7 linked regions of the Sus scrofa genome follow. The protein of the gene in region 3 purifies or fractionates together with the protein of the main gene of each other region. This does not show direct contact. Links are inferred from orthologs where the notes say so. Each region holds a gene or a part of one and is shown on either strand. Other genes may lie near its edges.

Evidence for each region.
Region 1: the proteins of CHD4 (region 3) and TOP2A purify together in Homo sapiens (affinity purification with mass spectrometry; 3 studies listed by BioGRID and IntAct, with this or other methods). This does not show direct contact. The link is inferred for Sus scrofa from reciprocal best matches to the Homo sapiens genes CHD4 and TOP2A.
Region 2: the proteins of CHD4 (region 3) and BCL11A purify together in Homo sapiens (affinity purification with mass spectrometry; 5 studies listed by BioGRID, with this or other methods). This does not show direct contact. The link is inferred for Sus scrofa from reciprocal best matches to the Homo sapiens genes CHD4 and BCL11A.
Region 4: the proteins of CHD4 (region 3) and ZFHX3 purify together in Homo sapiens (affinity purification with mass spectrometry, with the first as the bait; 3 studies listed by BioGRID). This does not show direct contact. The link is inferred for Sus scrofa from reciprocal best matches to the Homo sapiens genes CHD4 and ZFHX3.
Region 5: the proteins of CHD4 (region 3) and HNRNPC purify together in Homo sapiens (affinity purification with western blotting; 3 studies listed by BioGRID, with this or other methods). This does not show direct contact. The link is inferred for Sus scrofa from reciprocal best matches to the Homo sapiens genes CHD4 and HNRNPC.
Region 6: the proteins of CHD4 (region 3) and NOLC1 purify together in Homo sapiens (affinity purification with mass spectrometry, with the first as the bait; 3 studies listed by BioGRID). This does not show direct contact. The link is inferred for Sus scrofa from reciprocal best matches to the Homo sapiens genes CHD4 and NOLC1.
Region 7: the proteins of CHD4 (region 3) and ZMYM3 purify together in Homo sapiens (affinity purification with mass spectrometry; 3 studies listed by BioGRID, with this or other methods). This does not show direct contact. The link is inferred for Sus scrofa from reciprocal best matches to the Homo sapiens genes CHD4 and ZMYM3.

Annotation. Positions count from the first base shown.
Region 1 is NC_010454.4:22,007,684-22,011,408, forward strand, and holds part of TOP2A (DNA topoisomerase 2-alpha), read left to right. Parts: intron 1-417; coding exon 418-556; intron 557-1,876; coding exon 1,877-2,034; intron 2,035-2,343; coding exon 2,344-2,469; intron 2,470-2,777; coding exon 2,778-2,888; intron 2,889-3,032; coding exon 3,033-3,138; intron 3,139-3,227; coding exon 3,228-3,337; intron 3,338-3,725. UniProt on the Homo sapiens protein: Key decatenating enzyme that alters DNA topology by binding to two double-stranded DNA molecules, generating a double-stranded break in one of the strands, passing the intact strand through the broken strand, and religating the broken strand.
Region 2 is NC_010445.4:81,277,837-81,281,561, forward strand, and holds part of BCL11A (B-cell lymphoma/leukemia 11A), read left to right. Parts: intron 1-2,312; coding exon 2,313-2,414; intron 2,415-3,725. UniProt on the Homo sapiens protein: Transcription factor. Associated with the BAF SWI/SNF chromatin remodeling complex. Binds to the 5'-TGACCA-3' sequence motif in regulatory regions of target genes, including a distal promoter of the HBG1 hemoglobin subunit gamma-1 gene.
Region 3 is NC_010447.5:64,084,915-64,088,639, forward strand, and holds part of CHD4 (chromodomain-helicase-DNA-binding protein 4), read left to right. Parts: intron 1-161; coding exon 162-283; intron 284-396; coding exon 397-570; intron 571-1,133; coding exon 1,134-1,275; intron 1,276-1,367; coding exon 1,368-1,499; intron 1,500-1,607; coding exon 1,608-1,725; intron 1,726-3,536; coding exon 3,537-3,661; intron 3,662-3,725. UniProt on the Homo sapiens protein: ATP-dependent chromatin-remodeling factor that binds and distorts nucleosomal DNA. Acts as a component of the histone deacetylase NuRD complex which participates in the remodeling of chromatin.
Region 4 is NC_010448.4:15,707,223-15,710,947, reverse strand, and holds part of ZFHX3 (zinc finger homeobox protein 3), read left to right. Parts: exon of another isoform or gene 1-275; coding exon 276-378; exon of another isoform or gene 379-401; intron 402-1,640; coding exon 1,641-3,725.
Region 5 is NC_010449.5:77,919,916-77,924,143, forward strand, and holds the start of HNRNPC (heterogeneous nuclear ribonucleoproteins C1/C2), read left to right. Parts: upstream 1-1,229; 5' UTR 1,230-1,358; intron 1,359-1,962; exon of another isoform or gene 1,963-2,007; intron 2,008-4,228. UniProt on the Homo sapiens protein: Binds pre-mRNA and nucleates the assembly of 40S hnRNP particles. Interacts with poly-U tracts in the 3'-UTR or 5'-UTR of mRNA and modulates the stability and the level of translation of bound mRNA molecules. Single HNRNPC tetramers bind 230-240 nucleotides.
Region 6 is NC_010456.5:113,152,987-113,157,441, forward strand, and holds the start of NOLC1 (nucleolar and coiled-body phosphoprotein 1), read left to right. Parts: upstream 1-1,632; 5' UTR 1,633-1,842; coding exon 1,843-1,962; intron 1,963-4,455. UniProt on the Homo sapiens protein: Nucleolar protein that acts as a regulator of RNA polymerase I by connecting RNA polymerase I with enzymes responsible for ribosomal processing and modification.
Region 7 is NC_010461.5:57,276,495-57,280,887, reverse strand, and holds the start of ZMYM3 (zinc finger MYM-type protein 3), read left to right. Parts: upstream 1-1,460; 5' UTR 1,461-1,489; intron 1,490-1,848; exon of another isoform or gene 1,849-1,908; intron 1,909-1,955; exon of another isoform or gene 1,956-2,088; intron 2,089-2,103; exon of another isoform or gene 2,104-2,538; intron 2,539-3,311; 5' UTR 3,312-3,330; coding exon 3,331-3,997; intron 3,998-4,393. UniProt on the Homo sapiens protein: Plays a role in the regulation of cell morphology and cytoskeletal organization.

The sequences.
Region 1 (3,725 bases), on a different chromosome or scaffold from region 3:
TCCCCTAACTAAGTTTGTCCCAGTACAACACTGGACACACCTCACTAAATATAACATGCTTTTCACTTACCCATAATACTTATCATGCTTGTAACTTTTTATTTTCTCTGTCTTCCTCCTTGTATACTAAACACCTAGAGAACAAGAACCATGTTTAATTTGTTACAAGATCTCAAACATGTAGCTCAGTATCTGGCACAATATAAGTATGTAGTCAGTAAATATTTGCTGAGTGAATAAACGCAAAGGAACCCGTTCCATCAGTGGTGATAACCTAAGACAGGACGAAGTGCCACCCTCTAGCCATTATTTTTCTACTTCTTTTCATCTTTAAAGTATTTTTATTTTTATGGGGGCTCATTTGTAGTCTCAATTTCTGATAAAACTCTTCCCTAAGATGAATTTTCTCATTTTCAGGCAATTGGCTGTGGTATTGTAGAAAGCATCCTAAACTGGGTGAAATTTAAGGCCCAAGTCCAGTTAAACAAGAAATGTTCAGCTGTAAAACATAACAGAATCAAAGGAATTCCCAAACTTGATGATGCCAATGATGCAGGTATAAATTTAATAATGTTTCTAAACTTTAAATCTCTTAGTTCAGTTATTTGTTTTACTCATTAACAGTGTACTGTGGTATCTTCCCTTGACAATTAATATCCAGAAGAATATTTGTACTTTGTTAAAAAGCAACCAATCCCCTGTTAATGAACATTTAAGTCATGTTCACTCTTTAGCTGTTATAAATAATGTTGAGATGATTATTTTGGGGGTATAAAACAAGAATGTTAGGAGTTTCCACTGTAACACAACAGGATAGGCGGCATCTCTGTAGCGCCAGGATGAGGGTTCAGCTTCCTGTGGGCACAGTGGGCTAAAGGATCCGGCATTGCTGTAGCCACAGGTTTCAACTGTGGCTCGGATCTGATCCCTGGCCTGGGAACTCCATATGCCAGTGCGGGACAGCCAAAAAAGAAAAAAATAAAACAAGAATGTTTAGAATACAGTGATCTATTACTTAATGTAGAAGAGAAAAAAAGTCATCTCGACCATCTTAGGTTCCTGGTTGTCTCTGAAAATTAAACTGAAAAAAGCAAGTGAATTTATTAAGTATAGTTTCATGTGACACCAGAACATTTATAAAGAAATGAAGACCTAAAGAAATGGTTAAACCTAAGTGTTTTATGCTAGCTTCGACAAAGAATGGAAAGTTGTGGAAATATATGATAGGACAAAGATTATAAGCGAAATAGAATAAACTTAGGGAAAATTAGCAAGGCTAAGATTCAGATTCTTGACCCTCAATCTTGGATTAGAATGTCCCTTTCTTTGTGGTATAAGGAGGTTACCTCCTACATGAGGGTGGCATGTCCTAAACCCCATCATCAACAAAAATATTAAATGTAAGACTTCCCGTTGTGGCACAGTGGGAATGAACCCAACTGGTATCCATGAGGATGTGGGTTCAATCCCTGGCCCAGCTCAGTGGGTTAAGTATCCAGCGTTGCTGTGAGCTGTGGTGTAGGATGCAGATGTGGCTTAGATCCTGTGTGGCTGAGGCATAGGCTGGCAGCTGCAGCTCTGATTCAACCCCTAGCCTGAGAACTTCCATATGCAGCCCTAAAAAACAAAAATATAACACTAATAACGTAATATAATCAAACCAGTGTTTAGCAGCAAGATAATTGTCGTGAGAGATTTATCTAAGAAACTAAGGCTTTATTAAGAATTTTAGCTAAAATATGTATCTAATTACTTAGCTCCATTTTACCCCAAGCCAATTTGTTATGAATTATAAATTATTTTCGTTTTATCACGTATCTGAGTTAGTGTATTCGAGGTTGAACTAAATGTGTTAATATCAATTTGTTTATTTTAGGGGGCCGAAATTCCACTGAGTGTACGCTTATCCTGACAGAGGGAGACTCAGCCAAAACTTTGGCAGTTTCAGGCCTTGGTGTGGTTGGGAGAGACAAATACGGAGTTTTCCCTCTTAGGGGAAAAATACTCAATGTTCGAGAAGCTTCTCATAAACAGGTAGAATATAAAAAAACTATCTTTAGAATCTCAATCTAGTTCTGTAATGCAGGACTTCATGCTCATATTTCATTCTCTCATTGAGTGTTCTGAAATATATCTTAGTTGTTATTTTAGGAAATTAGGTACATTGTAGCATATCTTAACAGATCTTTCTGACTTACTGAAGTATAGGCTAATAACAAAATATTAGAGTTCAAGAAAACCCAAGCAACATATACTATTTTATTTCTCTCTTTTTTTAGAGTTTATAAACAAAATATTACCTTTTTTTTTTTTTTTTTTTTTTTTGCTGTATATCCATTTCAGATAATGGAAAATGCTGAAATTAACAACATAATCAAGATTGTGGGTCTTCAATACAAGAAAAACTATGAAGATGAAGATTCATTGAAGACTCTACGTTATGGGAAGATAATGATTATGACAGATCAGGTCAGATTTGTTTAAGATGATTAAATTAAACCTGTCTTATTATTGCATTACTTTCCTGCCCTGAAAGAAAATAATTAACCTGAAGCTGTATTCATTACCTTTAATTCATATCTAATCAGATATATTATGTTTATATTACGTGTATATTAAATGTACAGTTTAAGTGTGTCTGAATTTGATAGCCATTTTTTTAAATACCGATAGAAAAAATTTTGACAAATTATCTGTACATCCTTCGTAATTTTATTTATTTATTTATTTTAGTTTCTAAGCAATTCTTTTGTATTTTGGCTTTCCAAATATTTCAGGACCAAGACGGTTCCCATATCAAAGGCTTGCTGATTAACTTTATCCATCATAACTGGCCCTCTCTTCTGCGACATCGTTTCCTGGAGGAATTTATCACTCCCATTGTAAAGGTATACTAACTTCTAAGATTACATAATGGATATTTTAAGGCCCTGCTCCTCAACCCTAGATACACATATAACCCCAGTGGTATATGGTGGTATGCAGGGACCCCAGCAGTATAGAAACCCACAGCAATATGTTTTGTACCTTAGGTATCTAAAAACAAGCAAGAAATGGCTTTCTATAGCCTTCCTGAATTTGAAGAATGGAAGAGTTCTACACCAAATCATAAAAAATGGAAAGTCAAATACTACAAAGGTTTGTAATGAAACTCATAGAGCGTCTCGTTTTGTTATATACCATGGCGCAAGATTATATGGAATAGCTTGCTTTTCTTGCTTTTGTAGGTTTGGGTACCAGCACATCAAAAGAAGCTAAAGAATACTTTGCAGATATGAAAAGACATCGTATCCAATTCAAATATTCCGGTCCTGAAGATGATGCTGCAATCAGCCTGGTGAGTTTGAGTTATATTTCACACATACATTCTGGTTATAGAGATCAATGCTTTAACTGGTCATTTCAAACATTTAAATTTTCACGTAATAAAATATAGAGTAGAGGAGTTCCCATCGTGGTGCAGCAGAAACGAATCCAGGTTCAATCCCTGGTCTTGCTCAGTGGGTTAAGGATCCCCACTGAGGTTGCAGGTTCAATCCCTGGCCTTGCTCAGTGGGTTAAGGATCTGGCGTTGCTGTGAGCTGTGGTGTAGGCTGCAGATGCGGCTTGGATCTGGCATTGCTATGGCTGTGGCGTAGGCTAGCAGCTGTAGCTCCGATTAGACCCCTAGCCTAGGAACCTTCATATGCTGCGAGTGCAGCCCTAAAAAGACAGAAAAGCCAAAA
Region 2 (3,725 bases), on a different chromosome or scaffold from region 3:
CAAAACCGAAATCAAATCATGACTGGATACTCAGATACTCACTCTTCTTCAAGAGCCTTTGCTTTGCCCGGTGGTCTAGGGCTGTGGAGAACTGGGCCAGGCTGCTGCCCCCAGAAGCTTAGCTTGCTCCAGGCCAGTGGTTTAGTTGAGGGGTTTGCCAGTGGGAGATACATGCAAATGGTCAGGCCTGGCTAGGTTAACTGTTCTCCCGTTTCTTGCTGGAGGCCTACTCCAGGCACCTCAGGGTCTCTTCCTGGAGTAAGTGGCAGGGAATTTGAAATGAGACTCTCCCCGTGGGAGGGGCAGAGTACCTTGGGCTTTGATGCTGAGGTCACAGTACCCAGTTGTGGAGGTCTCCTAAGAAAAGGATTTCAGTCTTGGCGACACACTTCTTAAATAGCTGAGGCGAGAACAAGTGCGAAAATGGATTCTCAGATTTCTCGTTGAAAAGCGCTATGACTAAATCTGTAGTTAATTTTACCCTCTCCTCTCAATTCATAGAATGTAAGCAGTCAAATGTTTTTTAAGTCCAGCCTTGCCACTTTTGCTGGGTCATTTTGTGGTATTTGTTGTGTTTGGGGTCAGGGAGGAGGACATGCCTCTGTAGATGGTCTTGGGCGAGGCGGCCTCCTGGGCAGGCCCAGAACAACAGATTTATGCCTCCGTGTGAGAGCTTCCACGAGCAACGCCATTGTTACCCACCAGGCTCCTCATGAAAGGAAACTTTGTGCCGGCTGCCCTGGCTGTTCTTGGCAGTGTGATCTATAGAAGGGGAACAGGATGTATTTTACACTTGAGACCTGCTATCCTAGAGCATAACAACAGCTCTTCTAAGTGCTCTTAATATTAAGCTAATGGAAAACACACTCTGTTTACTCACCATCAAAGTCTGTTTTTCTTCTCTCCTGCCTCCCCCAGTCATTACAAACTCCAAGCCTCTAGGATACGTGGAGTGTCCGCACTCCATCTATCCTCCACTCTGTCTCCAGGTTGACCTCTGCATGCTTGGTTAGCTCAAGGTGGACTTGGAAAAGCTAGGCACTCACCACATAAACCATATAATCCCCAGGTTGCACAAACCAAATATTTCCTTTTTCACAAAAATCTCAATGTTAGAAATGCTTGATTTACTGCTAGATTTATGTTTATTAGTGGGAGAAGTCATTTTTCCTCACCAGAGTGCAACCCAGTGCTGTAGAATAGAGGAGCAGGGCCACTTTTTCCGGGTGCTGCTATTTTTGGAATGCTGGTTATCTCCTTGTCTTTGAATGATAGGATTCCTTATCCTGAAGATGAAGACTTGGCCAAAGTTACTTTGACCCCAGAAATCTAATCTTTATTGTCCACTGCTTCGTGTTGTAAGAAGCCATGTCTATAGTGGGTACTCCACGAGTAAATTCTAGAGCGTGGTCCAACCTTGAGATGCCCAAAGTTTCCTTGTCATTGAAGGTGCTGTCATAAATACAGCATGGGGGGCAGTGGGACATGGTTCTGGAAGAAATGATTCATAAATCACTCATTTCCTGTGAGCTTATTGTTTCTGCTTGAGCTTGTCTCTAGAGTAAATGTATGCATGTTAAACCAGCCTTGCAGATAAATCCCCCCATTTTGCCAACCTGCCAATCATGTTACCAAGTTTTCCCCTTGCTATTTACACATCTCTTATTATCAGACAATAATCAGACAAGACAAACAAATGAACCAAAGAACCCACCCCATACCTAAAACAAAAATCTTCTCTTTTGTCAAAAAAAGACCAAAATTAAGGAGTTTCTGTAGTGGTGCAGCGGGTTAAGAATCCAACTGCAGTGGCTCGACTTGCTGTGGAGGTGTGGGTTCAATCCCCAGCTTGGTGCAGGGAGTTAAAGGATCCTGCATTGCTGCAGCTGTGGCATAGGTCACAGCTGAGGCTTCGTTTCAGTCCCTGGCCTGGGAACTTCCATATGTTGTGGGAGCAGCCATTTAAAAACAAACAAACAAACAAACAAAAAAACAGACCAAAGTTAAAAGAGTTCTCTGGTGGCTTCGTGAGTGAAGGTCCAGCATTGTCACTGCTGTAGCTGTGGTGTGGGTTCAATCCCTGGTCTGGGAGCTTCCACATGCCTCGGATAGAGCCTAAAAATAAAAACAAAACAGAACTGTGGGAAATAACTCACCACTGTTCTTTTGATGCAGGCCTTGGGCCTGTGAACTATCTGCAAGGCTGTTGTAATGATGTTAATCTATTTTAATGGAATTGAAATGTGATATCCTGTGGTTTATGATGCTCATTGTTTATAGCTTTAGTGCTTGATTGTGGGTTTCTTTCACAGATAAACTTCTGCACTGGAGGGGCCTCTCCTCCCCTCGTTCTGCACATGGAGCTCTAATCCCCACGCCCGGGATGAGTGCAGAATATGCCCCGCAGGGTATTTGTAAGTTGAGCATTATTTCTTCTACAAATGTCCATGTGTGTAGAGAAGAGAGTTTCTAGAAATTACCCTTACTTTTTAAGTATGGAAAGGAGTTGCTTCCAAAATACATTGGCACCTGCCTATGTATTGTTCCATTACTCACTTGTCACCTGCTTCCCCAGTCCACTCAGCCCCCAGTGGCTCCCCCCGCCTTTTTCTTTCTCTCCTGACTGAAGGTGTGGGGCTCATAGCTGCTCATCCCTGTGGGTCTCCTCCCAGGGTCTTGTGTGGCTCCACAGTAGCTGCTGACTGCATACCTCTGTGTGTTCAGGGCCCATTTTATTGCTGGACATTCATTCCCATGGCCTCTTTTAGGACTCTGAATTGATCCCATGGCATACATCTTCTGCAGAGGCCAGAACCAAAAGGAGTCCATTTTAGAGCTACTCTAGAGTTATCCTCATGCATGTTATATATGCATTTGTATGTGTATTTAAACATGGTATATTTTTATATATGCATGGTATATTATATATGTACATACATATATAATTTCTACTTGTTTTTCTCCTAGATTTAGAGAAAAATGCACAGCATTGTTGCTAAAATTCAGTGATACCACCCCCACCACCACTGCCACCTTCCAGTTACTTGTTCAAGCCAACTTTTATAGTGGGGATCTTGTTATGAAATTTAGATTTGTATGTTTATAAAAATGTTTTTGAAAGATGTTGTTTTATAAGGTAATACAGCTTGCTTTTCTCTGTAGGAATAAATGGTATGAGTCATGCATAGCTAAAAAATCAGATGGGGTGGAGGGTGGGGGTGGGGGCGGGGGGTTGATTCCACCCCAAACACAAAAAAGCGGGTTCAAGAGGAAAAGAAGTGTGACATCTTATTTGCATTTAAGGAAAATAGTTTCATTTTGAAATTAAAAAAAAAAAAAAAACCTGTTGTGGAAAGAAAAAAAAAAGGGAACCTGTCATGGAAAGGGAATAACAAAAAGAGCAGGATGTTGGAGCTGGGGCCTTAAAAGGGACTGGGAGGTACACTCGACCCAGTCTCATGAATGTATCTGCAGGGCAGAGCCTGCACCCTGAGACCAAATTCAAAGCTAGTTGTTTATTTTGATTAACTCCTAGGTAATCCTAGGTAACAATGAGTTATTGTGCGAATTACACAAGCCCTCGGGTCCTGAGGGCTGGGCGGTGCAAGGGTTAAAAGCACATCCTCTTCCCCTAACCTGCCCCCCCAGTGACCGAGCTGGGCTGCAGCCTGGCTTAGGTCACCTATTGCATACAGTTTAGGGGATTGGACTCATGATTTCGAGTC
Region 3 (3,725 bases):
TGCTTTCCTCACTCATGGTAGACCCTTGAGGCCAGGCCTTAAAAGAGAGATGGAGGTGGGGGTAGGGGCTTAACTCTGCTGGGCAGTGAAACCAGAGTGTGCAGAGATGTACCAGGGTCCTCCTGTCATTGGATTTCACTTCTCTCCATCTGCTTCCCCAGTTCTTCCGGGTCTTAAATGGCTACTCGCTCCAGCACAAACTGTTGCTGACTGGGACCCCATTACAAAACAATCTGGAAGAGTTGTTTCACCTGCTCAATTTTCTCACCCCTGAGAGGTTCCAGTAAGTGTGTTTTGATCCATAATCGGCTCATAATTCTTTTGTTTCTTTCTTTTGCCCATTTCCTGTATCACTTTTCTTTCTCCACATCAACAATTTTTTCTTTTCTTCGGAAGCAATTTGGAAGGCTTCTTGGAGGAGTTTGCTGACATTGCCAAGGAGGACCAGATTAAAAAACTCCATGACATGCTGGGGCCTCATATGTTGCGGCGGCTCAAAGCGGATGTGTTCAAGAACATGCCATCCAAGACAGAGCTAATCGTGCGTGTGGAGCTGAGCCCTATGCAGAAGTGAGTCTGAAGGGACAGAAACATTGGCTCTATTTTGCAGACATAGTTAAGACCTCAGCCGGCCTGCACAGCGTTGCCTCGTTCTCTCCGTACCCTGCTTCAAGGCATATGGGGACGGAAGCAAGCAGCCTAAAGAAACCCCTCCCCAAGGAGCTGGGGCCCAGAGTGCTTTCACTGTTTCTTGTTACTTATTTATGTATTTATTTTAATTTTTCTTTTTTGGCCGCGCTGAGGCATACCGAGTTCCCAAGCCAGGGATCAGAACTGAGCCACAGTTGCGGCTGAAGCTGCACCTGCCGAAACACCAAGTCCTTAACCTGTTGTGCTGGGCCAGGGATTGAACCTGCCTCCCAGCACTCCCAAGATGCTGCTGATCCCGTTGCGCCACAGTGGGAACTCTTCCTTACCTTATTTAAAATGATGAGGGTGGTGGTGTTTCTTAGGTTTTCTCAGTCCCAAAATGAGTGATGTTGGAAGGAAGGTCTCTGGCCTTGGGACTGCATTATGAGTCATTGAAGTCATCGAGTGTGACTTCTCTTGTTTTTTTTTTTTTTCACGTGTAGGAAATACTACAAGTATATCCTCACTCGAAATTTTGAAGCGCTCAATGCTCGAGGTGGTGGCAACCAGGTCTCTCTGCTCAATGTGGTCATGGATCTTAAGAAGTGCTGCAACCACCCGTATCTCTTCCCCGTGGCTGCAATGGTATGTTGTGCTGCCTCTTGATCCTCCTTGGGAACTGCTTCATTTGGGGTATCTTTCAATATATTTTTTTTCTTCTTTGCTTCTTTCCTCAGGAAGCCCCTAAGATGCCTAATGGCATGTATGATGGCAGTGCCCTAATTAGAGCATCTGGGAAATTATTGCTGCTACAGAAGATGCTCAAGAACCTTAAGGAGGGTGGGCACCGTGTGCTCATCTTCTCCCAGGTATTGCGTGGGCTTGGCTGGAATTTAGAGGGTGGCAGAGGACAGCTTGGCGACACAGGGAGGGATTATCCTGTGACTCGCCTGTGATAAATTGTGCTCCTTTGCCAGATGACCAAGATGCTGGATCTGCTGGAGGATTTCTTGGAACATGAAGGTTATAAATACGAACGTATTGATGGCGGAATCACTGGGAATATGCGTCAAGAGGCCATCGATCGCTTCAATGGTAAGAGGGAAGGAATGGTTTCATCCTGGCAGCCCCATTCACCAGTGGCCCTTGACTGGTCTCTTGTTCTTCCTGGGCATCTGCCTTTTTATTTAGTGGTTTGGGCTCTTTGTCAGTTGACTGAAAGAGTATTTTTGAAATTTTTTGTTTTGTTTTGTTTTTTTAGGGCCAAACCTGTGGTATATGGAGGTTCCCAGGCTAGGGGTCAAATCGGAGCTGTAGCCGCCTGCCTACACCAGAGCCACAGCAACACAGGATCTGAGCCACGTCTACGATCTACACCACCGATCACAGCAACGCCAGATCCTTAATCCACTGAGCAAGGCCAGGGATCGAACCTGCATTCTCATGGATGCTAGTTAGATTCATTAACCATTGAGCCACGACAGGAACTCCTTGAATGTTTTGATTGGAAGAATGTATTGGATTGTTCCTTGCAGATTATTTTCCCTTTAGAGTCTTCATTCTTTCTGCACTTCCTTTAATCCCCTTCATTGCATCTTGAGGCCTGGGTGGGCCTCAAGCCCAGACTGTGAGTTATTGGCAGATTTATCTCAGTAGCCACTACCACCTCCTCTTTTTTTTCTCACTTTTTAATTCGAAAGGATTTTGAACTTAAAATTCAAAAAATAGTGCAGAGACTTCATGTGTACCCTCTGCCAAGCTTTGCTTCATCATGACTTCTATTACCACAATTGAGTTGTCAAAACCAGGGTGTTAATGCTGGATTCATACTCAATTAAATGGCAGACTTGAATCAAACATCACCTGTTTCCTGTGTCAGGATCCAGTTTCTTTTTTTCTTTCTTTTTTTTGTTTTTGTTTTTTCTAGGGCCACACCCATGGCATATGGAGGTTCCCAGGCTAGGGGTCTAATCGGAGCTGTAATCTCTGGCCTACACCACAGCCACAGCAACACAGGTTCCAAGCCAAGTCTGCAACCTACACCACAGCTTATGGCAGTGTGGGATCCTTAACCCACTGAGCGATGCCAGGGATCAGATCTTTGTCCTCATGGATGCTAGTCAGATTCATTTCTGCTGAGCCACAGCAGGAACTCCGCATTCTTTTCTTCATGAGTTGATGCATTTGATGATGACTGGTCAGCTCTTTTGTAGAAAGTTTCTTAAGTTTAGCTTTGTCTGATGTGTTCTCATGATTAGACTGATGTTAGATATCTTGAGCAGGGATTCCACAGAAGCAGTACTGGATCTTTTTCATCCCTGGTGAGGGTGTCATGTTGATAAAGTCCCATTGCTGGTGTTAACCTTGATCACTTAGTTAAGGTGGTGTCTGCTGCATTTTTCTACTGTAAATTTACTTTTTTTTTTTCATTGTACCTGATAAATAGCCCGAGGGAGATATTTGAGACTATGGTCATGTGTTTTACCTTAAACTTTCACACTGATTTCAGCATCCATCAGTAATCTTGCTTATTACTTTGATGTTTGTCTAATGGTTTTTTTTTTTTTTTTTTTTCCACTTTTTAGGGCTGTACCTGTGGCATATGGAGGTTCCCAGGCTAGGGGTCAAATTGGAGTTGTAGCTGCTGGCCTACACCAGAGCCACAGCAACCCAGGATCCGAGCAGAGTCTGCCACCTACACCACAGCTCACTGCAGCACTGGATCTTTGACCCACTGAGCAAGGCCAGGAATCGAACCTGCAACCTTGTGGGTCCTAGTTGGATTCGTTTCTACTGTGCCATGACGGGAACTCCCTAATGGACGTCAGTGTTTCTATTATTTCTTCTACATTTATTAATTGGAAGTCAGGAGACACCTCTAATGGCGTTTTTGGTTCCTTTCTTAGCACCGGGTGCTCAGCAGTTCTGTTTCTTGCTTTCCACTCGAGCTGGAGGCCTTGGAATCAATCTGGCCACTGCTGATACAGTTATCATCTATGACTCTGACTGGAATCCTCATAATGACATCCAGGTGAGCAGAGGTGGCAGCTTTAGTGTACAGTGATTTATTGGAAATGCAGTGTTCTATGTAAGAG
Region 4 (3,725 bases), on a different chromosome or scaffold from region 3:
CAAAATTCTGCATAAAGGAAAAATATTAATAATAAGATTATTCTTCAAGTGTGCACTGCTAATTATGTCCAGAATGTAACCGTAGAAACACTTTTGACTGATGTGAGCTTTGTCTAATAAACATGAGTCTTCAGTGAGCTATGAAAAGTGACACCTCCAGCTTCACACTGGTGAAGGCTAATTTTGCTTATTAAATAATTTTTACAGATCTCCCCATTTTGTGTCTCTTTCCTCTCCATTTGACTCTGCTCGCTTCTCTGCCTCCTGCTCTTCAGGTGACTACCCCTGAGATGGTGATGCCCAGCAGCATGTTCCTCCCAACGGCGGTTCCAGATCGAGACGGGAACTCCAGTGTGGAGGAGGCAGCCAAGCAGCCCGGTTAGTGTCATTATTTTTGACTCCTGAGAACAGAAACAAAATGAAACCCAGGGTCAAAAGCAGTGGTGCCAAGAATTCTTTACAGTACTCCTAAGCCGAATGTAACTGCTCAAGGGATAAGGGGCACTGTTGTGTCAGCTACTTGAGACTCTGATTCTTGGCGTGATTTGTGTATTCCTCATATGGCTTGAAGTGAGAAAAAAATCAGGTGAGAACAGTGGGCTTTTTGATGGACACACGCCCCTTCGACTGTACACTGAGGGAGTTTTAATCAGAATCTCAGTCAGGAGACCCATGACTTAGCATCATAACCTGTTAAATACTCCCTCTCGGAGGACTTAGTTACTCGGGAGGGACTGGTGATCTCAGGTGCTCTCAGGGAAGTGGATTAGCTGCCTTTCTAGGAGCTGTCCCTGCACAGCGTTCTCCTTGGAGACCTCCAGGACTGCCTTAGGATGCCGCAGAGAGGTGCATTGGGAAAGAACTCGCTTGTAGACATAGATGCTGCGGGTGGCACCCCATGGTGGGTCCTAGCTGGGCGAGTCCTTACACCCCTGTTCACAAGTGTCTCCTACATCTCTGACTTCTTGTCACCAGCTGAGCTAGAAATTGGGAAGGGCTAATACCGTATCGCCCCGACTCCACCCTTGTGAGTTCTCCACATTAGACAGTGGACAGCTGATCTGAAAAAGGGTCAGAGAATATTTATAGGTGTGGTAATCTCACTGTAGCAAAAGTTTTAATGTATTTTAATAATTGGCCACTTGAATATTCATTGTGTATTTATTAGAGATGACAGTCAGAAGTCATAACAAGAAATTCAGTGCCTAAAAATATATTCCAAAATGTCTTCTATTACAGTGGGTAGACATTCTTGCAGACTCCCCCCATCTTAGGATAGCATTAATTCATATAGTCTACAATTCAGATCCATGTCAGGGGGTGTGCTTCAAACCAGTTCTTGAAAAATTGAGGATTCTGAGTCCAGCAAGTATTTAAAAGACAAATCTGTGCTACGGTATGGTCTCCTAGAAGTCGAAACTTCCTGCATGTCCTTTCCTTCCCCTCTGATCATATGCACCTGCTTATAACCTGTGCTCTCGGGGGTTGGGGCCCTTGGAGAGATTGTGTGCAGGGTGGCTATTTCCCTCATTGTGAGACCGTGTTCGTGAGGCCTTGCTGGGTAGACAGCTCTGGGTGCCATCCTTAAAACAAAGCCTTCTTTATCATTGGGTTTGACTTTTTTTTTTTTTTTTAACCAGAAACCTCAGAGGATCTGGGAAAGAACATCTTACCCTCTGCGAGCACAGAACACAGTGGAGATTTGAAACCCTCGCCTGCTGACCCAGGCTCTGTGAAAGAAGATTCAGGCTTCCTGTGCTGGAAGAAGGGGTGCAACCAGGTTTTCAAAACTTCTGCCACCCTCCAGACGCACTTCAATGAGGTTCATGCCAAGAGGCCTCAGCTGCCCGTGTCTGATCGCCATGTGTACAAGTACCGCTGCAACCAGTGCAGCCTGGCTTTCAAGACTGTGGAAAAGCTGCAGCTCCATTCTCAGTACCACGTGATCAGAGCTGCCACTATGTGCTGTCTCTGTCAGCGCAGTTTCCGAACTTTCCAGGCTCTGAAAAAACACCTTGAGACGAGCCACCTGGAGTTGAGTGAGGCTGACATCCAGCAGCTTTATGGTGGCCTTCTGGCCAATGGGGACCTCCTGGCAATGGGAGACCCCACGCTGGCCGAGGACCATACCATAATTGTTGAGGAAGACAAGGAGGAAGAGAGTGACCTGGAGGATAAACAGAGCCCAACGGGGAGCGATTCTGGCTCAATACAAGAAGACTCGGGCTCAGAGCCCAAGAGAGCTCTACCTTTCCGAAAAGGCCCCAACTTCACCATGGAAAAATTTCTAGACCCTTCTCGCCCCTACAAGTGTACCGTCTGCAAGGAATCGTTCACACAAAAGAACATCCTGCTGGTGCACTACAATTCTGTCTCCCACCTGCATAAGTTAAAGAGAGCCCTTCAAGAGTCAGCAACGGGTCAGCCAGAACCCACCAGCAGCCCTGACAACAAGCCTTTCAAGTGCAACACCTGTAACGTGGCCTACAGCCAGAGCTCCACTTTGGAGATCCACATGCGGTCTGTGCTGCATCAGACCAAGGCCCGGGCAGCCAAGCTGGAGGCTGCCAGTGGCAGTAGCAACGGCACTGGGAACAGCAGCAGTGTCTCCCTGAGCTCTTCCACCCCAAGTCCTGTGAGTACCAGTGGCAGTAACACCTTTACCACCGCCAATCCAAGCAGTGCTGGCATCGCTCCAAGCTCCAATTTACTGAGCCAAGTGCCCACTGAAAGTGTGGGAATGCCGCCCCTGGGGAATCCCGTAGGTGCCAACATTGCTTCCCCTTCTGAGCCCAAGGAGGCCAATCGGAAGAAGCTGGCAGATATGATTGCATCCAGGCAGCAGCAGCAGCAGCAGCAACAGCAGCAGCAGCAACAGCAACAACAGCAGCAGCAACAACAAGCACAGACACTGGCCCAGGCCCAGGCTCAAGTTCAAGCTCATCTGCAGCAGGAGCTGCAGCAGCAGGCGGCCCTGATCCAGTCCCATCTGTTTAACCCCGCCCTCCTTCCTCACTTCCCCATGACCACTGAGACCCTGCTGCAGCTGCAGCAGCAGCAGCATCTCCTCTTCCCCTTCTACATCCCCAGCGCCGAATTCCAGCTCAACCCTGAGGTGAGCCTGCCGGTGACTAGCGGGGCGCTGACGCTGACTGGGACCGGCCCAGGCCTGCTGGAAGACCTGAAGGCTCAGGTTCAGATCCCACAGCAGGGCCATCAGCAGATCCTGCAGCAGCAGCAACAGCAGCAGCAGCAGCAAAGCCAGCTCTCTCTCTCCCAAAGTCACTCTGCCCTCCTTCAGCCCAGCCAGCACACTGAAAAGAAAAACAAATCAGTCATCAAAGAAAAGGAAAAGGAGATCCAGAGAGAGAGGGACAGTGCCGAGGGGGGAGAGGGCAACTCGGGACCAAAGGAATCACTGCCAGATGCCTTGAAGGCCAAAGAAAAGAAAGAATTGGCCCCAGGGGGTAGTTCTGAGCCTTCCATGCTCCCTCCACGCATTGCCTCAGATGCCAGAGGGAATGCCACCAAGGCCTTGCTGGAGAACTTTGGCTTTGAGCTGGTCATTCAGTACAACGAGAACAAGCAGAAGGTGCAGAAAAAGAACGGGAAGACTGAGCAGGGGGAGAATCTGGAAAAGCTCGAGTGTGAGGCCTGTGGCAAGTTGTTTTCTAACATCCTGATTTTAAAGAGTCATCAAGAGCATGTTCATCAGAATTACTTTC
Region 5 (4,228 bases), on a different chromosome or scaffold from region 3:
CCATGGACTGCTCTCCCTAAGTAAATGACATTCAACTTGTTACTAAATGGCCTTTTTTTTTTTTTTTTCCATTTGATAGGTAACAAGTAATTTCCTTGTGAATCTCTCTGGAATTCAGACATAATTCAAAATTAATGCATAAAACTGTATTCACATATACATATATTCCATAAGATGTATACAGATGGTATCACATTATCTAGATAGTATTCTGCATCTTGCTTTCTCTAACTGTACAGAGAAATATCCTTCATTCCTAGCATAGCTGGACCTATCCCACTGTGTGCATGGCTGCTATAATATAACCAGCGGGACTGGCAGGCGATGCCTGGAGCCAGAAGGTGGGAGACTAGCTATTTCAGATGAGGGGAAGAAGGGAGCAGATTTGGGGGACGAGCAGGGGGTAGGATTAGATGGGCAAGCCAATTCTGGTTGGCATGTAGGGTATTCGTGAAATGATTTGGGGCCAGAGGATGGGTGCTGTAATACTTCAGGCCAACATTTTAGACTTTCTTTACCTTTTGCAGTGGAGAGGAATAAGGAAGTCAGCTGTTTTGGGTGAGATACAGGTTGTCTAAAGAAGGGCTTGACAGGTTAAGTGTTGTCCAAATGGGAGCTCTAAGGTTGGAGTTTTGCAGGATTGGTTACTTTTCTAGTCCTTGGTGCTCCCTCCCAATTCTAAGAAAAGTGTTTTCTTTATCCACACAGCAGTATAGAGGATTCATTCGGAGATTCCTGCTTCCCTTTACCTAGGCCCGGAGCTAGGGCACATCCTTTGAGCCGCTACCAAACAAAATCCCGCAATCCTTCCCCGCCCCCGCGCCGCCGGAATTCCGAGATCCCGGCGGGCCTTCTACCAGGTTCTCTAAGGAGCAGTGATAGGATCCCGTAGCCGCCAATCACAACCTCCCGGATACCCGGATATGAAGTGGTGCGCGGTACAAAGGCAGGTTTCCACCTACCGCTTCGTCAGTTACAGTGGCCAATAAGCATTTCTCAGGTGATAAATGACAGGAAAAATAACCAGTTACAAACTAATTTCGCTCACGCATGTGGAAATTCTCTTGCTTAGTCTAACCCACCACTGATTGTGATTGGACAGAATTGTGAAGAGCGGTAGAACTGTCTAATTAGAAGCGGGAGCGAGAAAAAGCTCAGCCAATAGGAAGAGTCCTAGAAGTGGGGCGGGGACTAGGCCTTCGCCTCGGCGGCAGAGGAGACTCGGGGGCCATTTTGTGAAGAGGCGAAGACTGAGCGGTTGCGGCGGTGTTGCCGACCTCGAGCAGCAGTCCGCTTCTCCACGTAGAACCCGGGAGTAGGAGATTCAGAATCGAATCTCTTCTCCCTCCCCCCTCCTGGTAAGTGGAGGGGGTGGAAGCAGGGGAGTCGCTGGGTTCCTTGGGGAGCGCGAGGGGGTGTGGGAGAAGACGGGGGAACCCTCCTCTCGGTAGAGTAAGCAGGCCCCCGTTTATTCTATTTGCACGGGGGGATTAGATCTTATGCAAGAGAGTTTTATAGGCCTCAGCCCTTGCGTGGATTTTTAACCTAATGTCCTCTAGGCCAGGATCGGCAGGGAGAATGTCCTTTTTCTTCTTCTCGCTCTCCTGTGTTAACGGCTGCTGTCCTTTCATTTTCTATGACCATGAGGTCTCTAAGAGAGATCATGAAAGGGAAGATCGAAATGCTCATTAGTATAGTCCTGTAAATTTAAAAATTGAGCGGGGGATGGGAAGGGTTATCAAGCAGATATTTATTGTACCGCAAGCCTCTAAATTCTGGAGCGTACCACAGGGTATAGTAATAAATATAACAATAGGTTTAATATTTTACCGGTTAGTTTTTGTTTCACTCCTCCCTGAGCAAATGATGGACTTCGACGTAGTTATTTTCAATTCTATTTTTTAAATTGTAATCTCATTTACATATTAACAGTAATAATGAAAGCTGGCTTTTTATCTACAGGTTACAAATCACTTGAAATATATAAGTTAGTGGAGCTTGCTTGAGGTAGGTATTACTGTCTTTCTCAGATAGAAACCGCAGCATGAGAGTGTGGATTGCCAGGGTCGTATTAAATCAGTAGCAGGAGTAGTAAGGAATTTGGCCACTAGGTTAAATTAAATGGCTTTTCCTACCTCTTGATGTGGTAGATACTAACATACTGTATTTGAATCTTTACAAGAACGTAATTACAGCAACCACTAGCGGTAATTGGAAATTCCCAAACTGCCCTTGGGAAAAATATTAAATTATGAGAATTACATATACTATTGTTGTAACTTCCTAAGACAATAAAGTTTGACTTTCAGGGTATTCTGGCATGCATTTTACAGATCATCCAAACGTTGACCAAAAAAAATGCGTGCCTGTATGCTTTTTATTAAGTAGGTATTATAGTGCTTATTATTTGCTAGGTTCTGAAGCATTCAAGTTTTTTCCTAAACTTGCAAAAATTATGTGGGTTTTTTAGTAGTATCACATTCGCATATCAGATCCTTTTTTTAATTCTTGTGTAAGATTTAGGTGATTTTATTTTTCATAACGTGTTGCTTTCACAAAAGCTAGTATTAGCACAGTTTAAACCAGTGCTGCAGAATAAATTCATCCCTTAGGAAACATACTTCATAGGCGCTGAAAGTATTCTTATTTTACATAGCTATGTACTTGTTCCCTCACCATGTAGATAACTGTTCTAATTGTAGTAAGAATCAAAAACGTTGCTTGGGAGTTCCCGTCGTGGCGCAGTGGTTAACGAATCCGACTAGGAACCATGAGGTTGCGGGTTCGGTCCTGCCTTGCTCAGTGGGTTAACGATCTGGCGTTGCGTGAGCTGTGGTGTAGGTTGCAGACACGGCTCGGATCCGCGTTGCTGTGGCTCTGGCGTAGGCGGTGGCTGCAGCTCCGATTCGACCCTAGCCTGGAACCTCCATATGCGCGGAGCGGCCAAAGAATAGCCAAAAAAAAAAAAAAAAAAAAAAAAAAAAAAAAAAAAAAAAAAAAAAAAAACGTTGCTTGCTTTTTTTTTTTTTTTGGATAAAGCCTGAATATTTATACTATTACATGGACTTAAAACTAAAATTAAGTGCAGAACTGCCAGAAGTGACATAAGGGGAGTTCGCTGGTGGCTCAGTGGGATAAAGATAAGTCACTGCTGTGGTGTAGGTTCAATACCTGGCCTAGGAACTTCCACATGCCTCAGTTGAGGCCAAAAAAAAAAAGCAGTGATTAGTTAATTTAGGGAATTATATACCTCAAAAATATTATTGGCAAATAGAAATGTAAGAAATAAGTTTTTAGGAATAATTATTCATAGGAATTGGAATTGAAGGACACTTCTTGCCTTGAGGTGTTAGAAATAACGGGTTCATTAAGATCAGCATGTACCAAGGTAACAGTTCCTTTGAGTTAATGTCTATCCGGGATGATTTGGCCACAGAATTAGTATCTAAAACAGTTGTAGATTTGATTTCAAGTAGGTAGGCATTAGTAACATTTTCATGTTGGCTGAAGAAGATTTAAGAAGGAAGATGCAATTGACCTTTTTGTGTTTCCCAGTGCTTATGCCACAGGAAAACTTGATGGTATTTGCTATTCCTTTGGTAGAGAATTTAAACACACCTTTTCCGTGATTATGTCTCCAGAGGGTTTTACATGGTGTGGGACCTTGTTATTATGAATGGAACTGCTGTTAGAAACAAGAAACTCCAAGGTAGCTAGTTATTCTAATACTAAAGATTAATCTTTTAACTGTGAGGCTTTAACTGGGGAGTGTTAGCAGTAGAAAGATCCTTGGCTTAGGAGGAGTTAAGAGAACTGGATATTTCCCCCTCCCCCCATTATTACCTCTCAGGCAAATCAGTTAAACTTTCTGGAATTCAGTTTTACACTTATGAGGGAGCTTAGATTTCTTACATGTTTTAATTTTGTTGCCAGAAAGCTAAAACATGTACAGAAATAGTTTTAATGTTGAAAGCAGTTTTGTTTTTGGCTATACCCTCAGCATTCCTGGGCCAGGGATTGAACCTGAGCCACAGTTGTAATGTCAGATCCTTAACCCCATGCACCACACAGGAACTTCTGAAAGCAGTTTTTGTGTATTAGTAGTTACTATTAACTACCTTAGTAACAGTATTTCAGTCTTCAAATAATTTTATTATTGTCTTTGGGGGATGTTACGTGCTCAAATTTAATGTGTACTCATTCTCATTGGGATCAGAGAAGCTTAAGG
Region 6 (4,455 bases), on a different chromosome or scaffold from region 3:
GTTGTTGGTAAAATCAGTCATCTAGGGCAGTGCTTCTCAAACTAAAAGGGCATTTGAATCATCTGGAGAGCTTTTTAAAAGGCAGGTTCTGGGAGTTTACTGGTGGTTCAGTGGGTTAAGGATCTGGCATTGTCACTGCAGTGGCTCAGGTTGCTGCTGTTGCATGGGTTCAATCCCTGACCCAGGAACTTCCAGGGGCTGCTGGTGTGGCCCCCAAAACAACAACAAAAAAAATGCAGATTCTGACTTATGGGGTAGGGGGTCTGATCTCTGCATTTCCATCAAGAGTATGCTGGTGCTACTGGTCCAGGAAGTAATTTTAATATCAAAGTACCCCCACACATATTCCAAATAAAGGTTTTCTAAACCGAAGCTTGTGTGTACACAGACCTTATTAGCTTGAGCCACACACAATGCTTGGTGTTCAGCAAGTGCTCAGGTGTTTAAAGAATGCATGCGGGAAGATAGATCTTTGGGGAAGAGGAATTATACCAAGGACAGGGGAGTGCCTGTTTTGATGAAGGCAAAGGAAAGGTGTGTCCCTTTAGAAAGTGGAGCCTTACTTTCCTGAAGGGCGTGAATGGGAAGTAATCGAGAGGTAGTGGATAGGACTGAAAGGATTGCTGTCTAATGTGAACTGAAACGTGATAGAATTTATTTGGCAGGCCTGGGCACTGATTGATATTTGAGTACTCATGACAGGGATTGCGTTTTTTTGTTTTTATTTTAATGGCCACACCCATGGAATATGGAAGTTCTCTGGTCAGAGATTGAATCCAAGCTGCAGCTGTAACCTATGCTACAGCTGTGGCAACACCAGATCCTAACTCAGATCCTTAAACCCCCTGTGCCACAGCAGGAACTCCTTGTTTTGTTTTTGGTTTTGCCTGTGCCCAAGGCATGCAGGACTTATCAGGCTAGGGCTTCAACTCTTGCCACAGCAGTCACAGAGCCACACTAGTGACAAGGAATCCTTAACCTGCTGAGCCTTGAGGGAACTCCAGTTGAAGGGTTTTCTAGTTTTCCCCCAGGGAGAGTACCGGGTGTGAAAGTGGAAGGGTCATTTTCAGGGTTCTAGATTTGAAGAGATTGCTGCTGTCACTCAGATTTGGTGCAAAACCGCTTTTCCCTTCATGGAACTGACTTAAGGCTGTATAAGTAAAAGAAGAAAGGCTGTCTCAAGGGCAAGTCGTAATTTTGGAAGGGGCAGTTTTGAAGATCAGCACCTCATCACTACAACGGATAATCTGAAGAATCCTGTAATGGAGATGGGAGTGCAGAGGTTGGTGTGATACCCTGAGAAAGGGCCTCCCAGGGTGTCGGAGACAGTGAAGATGAAGGGTGGGAATCCACTGGCAGCACCGATAGAAGCAGTATGGGAAGTCATGTGACCAAGCTAAAGGGAGTTCAAAGTCAGCTCGGTCTCCCCAGCCCACTCCTTACCCTGGCATCCACAAGTCAGGGGCGCAGGTAACCACCACCCCAGGAAATGTGGCTGCGGCTGAAAGGCTTAGAAAGGCTGGGCGCGAGAACTCCGGAGTTTTCCCGCCACATCTCTAGGGCGTGACCCCTTGACGTCAGGGCTCCGCCTCCACAAAGTAGCCGAAGGGCGGGCTCCGCCCTAACCAAGATGGCGACACTCGTGGGACCGGAAAGAGTTCATAGATTTCGCCTTTACCCAGCCTCCAAGGCGGGAGCGGGAAGGCCCTGCGGCGTGTGCCCGCCCCTTCCGCTGTGTCCCGCGCAGCGCGGAGGCATCACACTGGCCCGTCTCAGCCCCTCCTGTTCCGGGTTCCTGAGTCGTGTGCGTCCGCGACGGTAGTGACGCGTATTGTCCGGAGGATGGCGGACGCCGGCTTGCGCCGCGTGGTTCCTAGCGACCTGTATCCTCTCGTGCTCGGCTTTCTGCGTGATAACCAGCTCTCGGACGTGGCCAATAAGTTCGCCAAGGCAACAGGCGTTGTGAGTTCCGGGTTTGGGACATAAGGGGGGATGACCACAGGGCTCTGGGCCCTGACATGCTTAGGTTTGCAGGTAAGGAGGTCTGTGGGGTCCTCCAGCCCAGTGTTTTGGGCCTTTGTGCCGAGCTCTCGGCAGTGTCCAGAGAAACCCTGGAATGCCGGCATCTCTTCCACGAAGTCTTACTACTCAGCGACAAGCCTTGTTGCTTTTTTTGGTGAGAGGTGAGGCGGCGGCGGCGGCAGCAGCAGCGTGGGACCCGCGTGGCCTAGGTCACGTGGCTGACAATGTTGCGAGAAGGGAGCGCTGTGTCCCACCAGAGGCATTGGAGGCTCCTGGTTCCTTCTTTGTGCTTTATCTTAGCTGATGCCAAGCGTGACTTGGACCTTAACTCTCAAATTTGAAACACAAATGAAATTGCTTTAGAAATAATGAAGGCTGGGATTTTCCTTAGTAAGAAAGGGAACGAGAGTAGAGGCAGGCAGGGTTCTGCTTCTAGTTATACTGAGGTAGGCTTGAGCATCATAGCTCTTCGAGGCATAGCTGTGAGCTTGACTCTTAACTTCTGGCATCAGACAAGTCTAAGTTTGGGAACAGCCTCTGCTTAAAAAAATGTATGATCCCGGGCAGCTTGCCTAGCCTCTCTGAATCTGACTTCTGTGGCGATGTCATCATGCACTTAATAGGATTTTTGGAGTTCTCTTGGTGCGGCATGTTAAGGATCCGACACTGTCTCTGCAGCTACTTGGGTTCCTGCTGTGGTGAGGGTTTGATCCCTGGCCAGGGAACTTCTACATGCAGTGGCCGCAACCAAAAAAAAAGTTTTCGTTGCTTTGTAGGAGTTTTGTGATTTTCAGTAGCAAGATATATACTAAGTGGCAATACCAGTGCTTTGTGCTCAGGAAGCATCAGTGAATGAATGCTCTTATCTTAGTTACGGTAACTTAGGATGTTCCAAGTACAGGTAAAGGGTGATGACCAGGAATGTGAAAGGTTTGTAATCTACATCTCAAGGAAAGCTGGCATGACTACATGCAAAAACACCTTGAGAGAGGGTAGAGTGGAATGGTAATCTTGGTGGTCTTGGTCTTTGACTAGGAGGATGGACTTGTTCTTTGTGGTAGATCGAGCCTTTCCGCAGTAGGCTGGATGAAATTGGGCCTTTCAGAATCAAAAATCTTTTTTTATTTTACTTTTTTTACTTTTTTTGCTTTTTAGGGCCACGCCCATGGCATATGGAGGTTCCCAGGCTAGGGATTGAATCAGCTCCAGCTGCCAGCCTGCACCACAGGCACAGCAACTCAGGATCCGAACCGTGTCTTTGACCTACGCCACAGCAAGGCCGGATCCCCCACCCACTGAGCGAGGCCAGGGATCAAACCTGCATCCTCACGTGGGATTTCTTTCTGCTGTGGGATTTCTTTCTGCTGTGCCAGGACAGGAACTCCCTCAAAAATCTTTTTTATGTGGCAAAAGCTGATCTGTGGAGGGTAGGGTCAGATGCTAAGCTCTCTTTTTTTCTTTTTTGGCTGCCCCTCAGGCATATGGAGTTCCCTGGGCCAGGGATCAGATCCCAGCCATAGCTGGGGTAACACTGGATCCTTGACCCGCTGTGGCAGGCTGAGGTCAAACCTGTGTCCCAGCACTCCTAAGAGGCTGCGCAATGGTGCCACAGTGGGAATTCCAAGCTAGGCCCTTTTTAAGTATTATCTCTTAACTTTTCAACAACTTAATAAGATGTGTAGTATTATCTATCTTATAGGGAAGAAAAAAGTCTCAGAAAGATTAAAAGATTTGCTCAGGGTCACACAGTAATAACTGACAGAGGTGAGTTTCACATTTACTCATCCAACTCTGAGCCTATGGTCTTGTATGTACTGTAATGACTTGCCCTTTTGGAGGACACCAACTTCTAATAAATATCAGTATAATTGATAGCTGAATGTAATTCTGTACTGAATATGTAACATAGCTTTTTACCAATCTTCTCTTGGAGGTTGGTTTCCAATGATTTGGGATTAAGCCACGTTGTAGCAAATGTCCTTTTGTGTAGGTGTTTGTCTTGTGGTCAGGATTAATTCTTGGGTAATAACACTGCTAGAGTAAATAGAATGCATGTTTTTAAAGCCTTTGATAAATAGAATTGTCAGGCAGCGGAATAGATGATGCCAGAAACTACAGGAATAGCCCAAGGGTTGTTTTGTTTCTTTGTTTTTGTTTTTGTGGCTGTGCCTGCAGTATGTGAAAATTCCTGGGCCCGGGGATTGAATCCATGCCACAGCAGGGACCCGAGCCACTGCAGAGACAACACTGGATTCTTAACCTACCATGCCACAAGTAAACTCCCAGCCCAAGTTTTTGATACCAAAAATTGGGAAGTAACTGTATAGAATATTTTTCTCCTAATATGTACAAGTAGGAGAGGTCTTACAGAGATGTAAGGTCTTTAGCAAATATAGCAGTATAAAACAGGTCATTTTTGGCCACCCCTTGGCA
Region 7 (4,393 bases), on a different chromosome or scaffold from region 3:
TAGAGGTGAAAGTACGGAAAGTTCCCATATACTCCCTGCCCCACACCTCCTCCCTCCTTTACAGCCTCTCTTGAGGGATCAATATCCCCCACCAGTGTGGTACATTTGTTGCAATTGGTGGACCTACATTGATACATCATTATCATTCAAAGCTCATAGTTTAGGGAAGAGTTCACTTTTGGTATCCTACATTCTATGAGTTCTGACAAATGTATCATAACATGTGTTCATTACTATAGTATCATACAGAATAGTTTCACTGCCCAGAAATTCCTCTGCTCTGCCTCATTAGCTTTTTAAAAAATATTGTTGTTAATGACTACATCCACTGTATGAATATAACCAAAATTGATTTGCCCAACCTCCTACCGTACATTTAGATTGTTTTCTTATCTCTGTTTTAAAGATGAGAAAAATAAGACCTAGTGACTTGACAAGTGATGTATCCAAAATCAAATGGCTAAAAAGCAGGCAGAGTGGAGATTAGAATCCTGGTCTCCAGAGCTCACACACATTGCCTCTGAATACACACCATCAATGCCCCCTTTAGACTGTCTCCCCTCAACTTGAAACCAGGCATTCTCCACCACCAGAGAAGCCAGAGATCCAAGCATGTGTTGAGAAGGGCAGGCAATACAAAAGAACGAGGCGGCCCAACTGTGATGCAACAAAGTGAAAATCCAAAAGGAGGTAAAAGGACACAGAAATAACCAGAAGGTGGGAGATGGGTACACAGAATACTGGTTAAGGTAAAGAAAAGGCTGGGCTTGGAAAACCTGAATGGGAAAACTCTTGCTTTTATCTCTGTATATGGGAGAGAGCAAAGATAACCTCAAGGCCATGGGGGGAACAGGAAGGATAAGGTTTCTGGGAAAGTGAATGAGACAAGGGAGGATAAAACTCCCAAGGACTATAAGGCTAGGAAAGGCTTAGTATGGGAAAGAAGAAAGGCCCAGAGCAAGAGGCACGCCAGAGCAAGCACTGGACAACAAACCTACGTGTATTTCTAAAAATGTGGCGGGACTCTTGTCCAGCCTGAGCCTCTTCTAGTATCTCAGACACCAAATACTCTTCAGCCCTTAAGGGTCAGAGGGGGAAAGTGGAGAGGGGGGATTGGAAAGTGCCCTAACTCTGATGGGGACTGAGAAAGGATCCTGGCACACATTTTTTAAAGCCAGTAGGCCTAATACTAATGCCCCCTCCCCCTACCCCACTTCTCCAGCCTCAACCCCAGCCACACCCACACGCTAAGGACCATCCAGGAGGGGGAGTGTGTGTGTGCGCGCGCGCGTGCGTGCTCGTGCATAAGAGAGCCAGAGAGACAGAGACGAGACAAAAAGAGACCGGGAGAGAGAGAGAGCGCGCCAGAGAAGGAGGCGGGGAGAGGGAGAGAGGGACAAGGACAGAAAAAGAGGGAGGGAGGGAAGGAGAGACAGAGAGAGACAGACAGACAAGAGATAGAAAGGAGGAAGGAGGACTGTCGGCCTTGGTGAGGAAAACTACAGAAGAGATAACGCAGGGGGCTCCTGCGGGAAGACTCAGGGAGAAGATCCCAGAACTTACCCTAAGACCGTGGAAGGAGTAGGGGAGTGTCTTTGCAGGACCTGGTTTTGGGGTCATCAGGCAGTAACGGTTACTGCATAGGCGTTGTCACTGAGCCAGAGCCATTTAACCCGCCCTGGGTAGCTGGAGACCAGGCTTAAGACACCCCACAACTATGAGTCTCAGAATGGTTAGGGGGGCCCGAGGCTGCAGACAAGGGGAGGAGGGGCACGTGAGGGCTGGGTCCTTTGCCTCCCCCCACCCTCCGCTGTCACTCATTACCCCAGCAGTCGCCCAGGGGGCGGGCCCCGGAGAGGTGGGGTTGGGGGGAGGGTAATCTTGGCAGGCGCCTGCTGCATGGCGTAGGTAGGGACTGTTGAGGGGGGCGGACGCCGGGGGGTTGAACACGAGTGGGAAGCGGAGAGAGACACGGGTAGGGGGAGGGGACCGGGAACCATTTGAATGAGAGGAGGGGATCACGGGTAGAGTGGGCTCCAGGAGATAGGGCGGGCACGGGTGTGACGGGGGGCCAGACTCTTGAGCCAGGTAAGGGAAGCAGGTGCGTAGATCTGTTTTTTGTGGGTTATTGTACTCGGCCCTTTGGTGTAAAGGGGGTGCCGCCTTTCCCGGGGGGCGGGCTTCTGAGCTCCAGAGGCTAGCTTTTCCTTCTCAACTAACGGGGCCCCGGGCGGGGGCTCAAGCTCCATCTCCAGTGCCTACGTTCCACTCCGCAATTTCCAGGCGTCCACTGGGCTGGGAGTCTCGCGCCGGGGGCCGGCGCTGTCTCGCGAGCCCCCTCCACGAGCCAGCCAATGGGGTTGGTTGCTGGCGCCGCCCGCCCGCCTGGTGCAGAGCGCTGGGCGCTGTGAGCGGCGCTGCCATTTAAAGGGGCCGCGACCCCTGTCCCGGCTGCTAGGGAGGGAGGTGGAGAAGGAGCGCGGGGCCGTCGCTGTCTGCAGTTCTAGGCTTGTAGCGGTTACACTAACCCTGCCGCAGGTAGGGGTCGGGCCTGATCAAGCCGAACCGAACCTGCAGGCGGGAACTCGCAGTAGCCGGGAGGGGGGGGGGTCCAAGGAGAGATCGTAGCTCCAAAATGTCTTCCTGTAAATGCCTGAGGTGGGGGGTGGGCAACAGGAGGAGGACTGGGAGAGCTCTAGGAAAAGGGGACGGGGCTGAGAAAGTGGGCGACCCTGAAAGGTAACTGGGGGGAGGGGTTAGGAAGGGCAGTTTGTGGGGGCGAGGGAAGGGCTGAGAGGACCATGCAACGCGGGGAGGTGGGGGTGGGGCCAGACAGGGTGGGTAAAGACTGGGGAGCTGGGGGGCTCTAGGAGAGAGGGGAGGGGATAGAAACTGAAATCGCGGGGGCGGGAAAGGCTCCCGGTGGCAACGGCCCTAGGAGACTCTAAGGGGGCGTTCAGCCCGAGTTGGGCGGGGGGAGTGAAAGGTGAAGGGGGAGGGGATCAGGGAGTTGCAGTGGGGTGGCGGGGGTACGCGGCGAGTGGAACGACAGCCTGCCCGGCGAGTGTGGGCACTGGGCCAGGGCGGGGAACGCCTCTCCCCACAGGGGGCGCTGTATTTGGGAGGGGGGGAGTGGTCATTTGGACTAAAGCCTTTGGAAAGGTTTGTCGGTTGTGTTGGGGGCGATTCAGGAGAAATCCAAGTGGATAATGGGGTGTGTCCCAGAGCCTGTATTAGAAGGAATTCTGGCGAAGACCACCTCTTCTGCCCCCTCTTCTACCCCTACCCCCTCTTCTACCCCTAATCTGCAGCCCATATCCAGTCATCCTCATGGACCCCAGTGATTTCCCCAGTCCGTTTGACCCGTTGACCCTGCCAGAGAAGCCCCTGGCTGGAGACCTTCCAGTAGACATGGAATTTGGAGAGGATCTACTGGAATCCCAGACTGCCCCAACTCGAGGATGGGCGCCCCCTGGCCCTTCTCCATCCTCAGGAGCCCTGGACCTGCTTGATACCCCTGCTGGCCTGGAAAAAGACCCTGGAGTCCTGGATGGAGCCACTGAGCTGCTGGGGCTGGGGGGGCTGCTCTATAAAGCTCCCTCCCCCCCAGAGGTGGACCATGGTCCGGAGGGGACCCTTGCATGGGATGCAGGAGATCAGACCCTAGAGCCTGGACCAGGGGGCCAGACCCCTGAGGTGGTGCCACCTAACCCAGGGGCTGGGGCAAACCCCTCTTCACCTGAGGGGCTACTAGAACCTTTGGCTCCAGATTCTCCAATAACCCTGCAGTCCCCACATATTGAAGAGGAGGAGACCACCTCCATAGCTACTGGGAGAAGGGGCTCCCCTGAGCAGGAGGAGGAGCTTCCTCAAGGGCAGCCACAGAGCCCAAATGGCCCCCCCAGCCCTTCAGTGGGAGAGACTCTGGGGGATGGAATCAACAGTGCTCAGACCAAACCTGGGGGCCCTAGCCCCCCTGCACACCCTTCCTTGCCAGGTAGGTTGCCTGATCAGCTGGAAAATCAAGGTGAAGAGAGAGGGTCGGGGGGATAAGGAGGGTGGCTGTGTGTTTGGGGAGGAAGTGGGGTGGGGGGAGGGTGGAGAGATAAGGTTAGGAAGGAATGGAGGAGTTGGGGGTTTGGAAGGGAGGAGTGGGGTGTAGTGAAGGAGATTAAAGGGAGTAGGAGTGAGGGAAGCTCAGTGACTGTGGAGGAGGAATAGGGATGAGGTCTCAAGGAGTGGGTTGAGAAGAGTGGATTTGGTGGAAGAGGTTCCCTTTTTTTTCCCCAAGTAGGCTTTTGGTACTAGGGTCCTTCCCTCAGGATTTGGGGAGGACACCAGGCTTTGTGGTTCTAAGATCTTTCCAGCTGTTTTGTTCTGGGTCTGATGAATG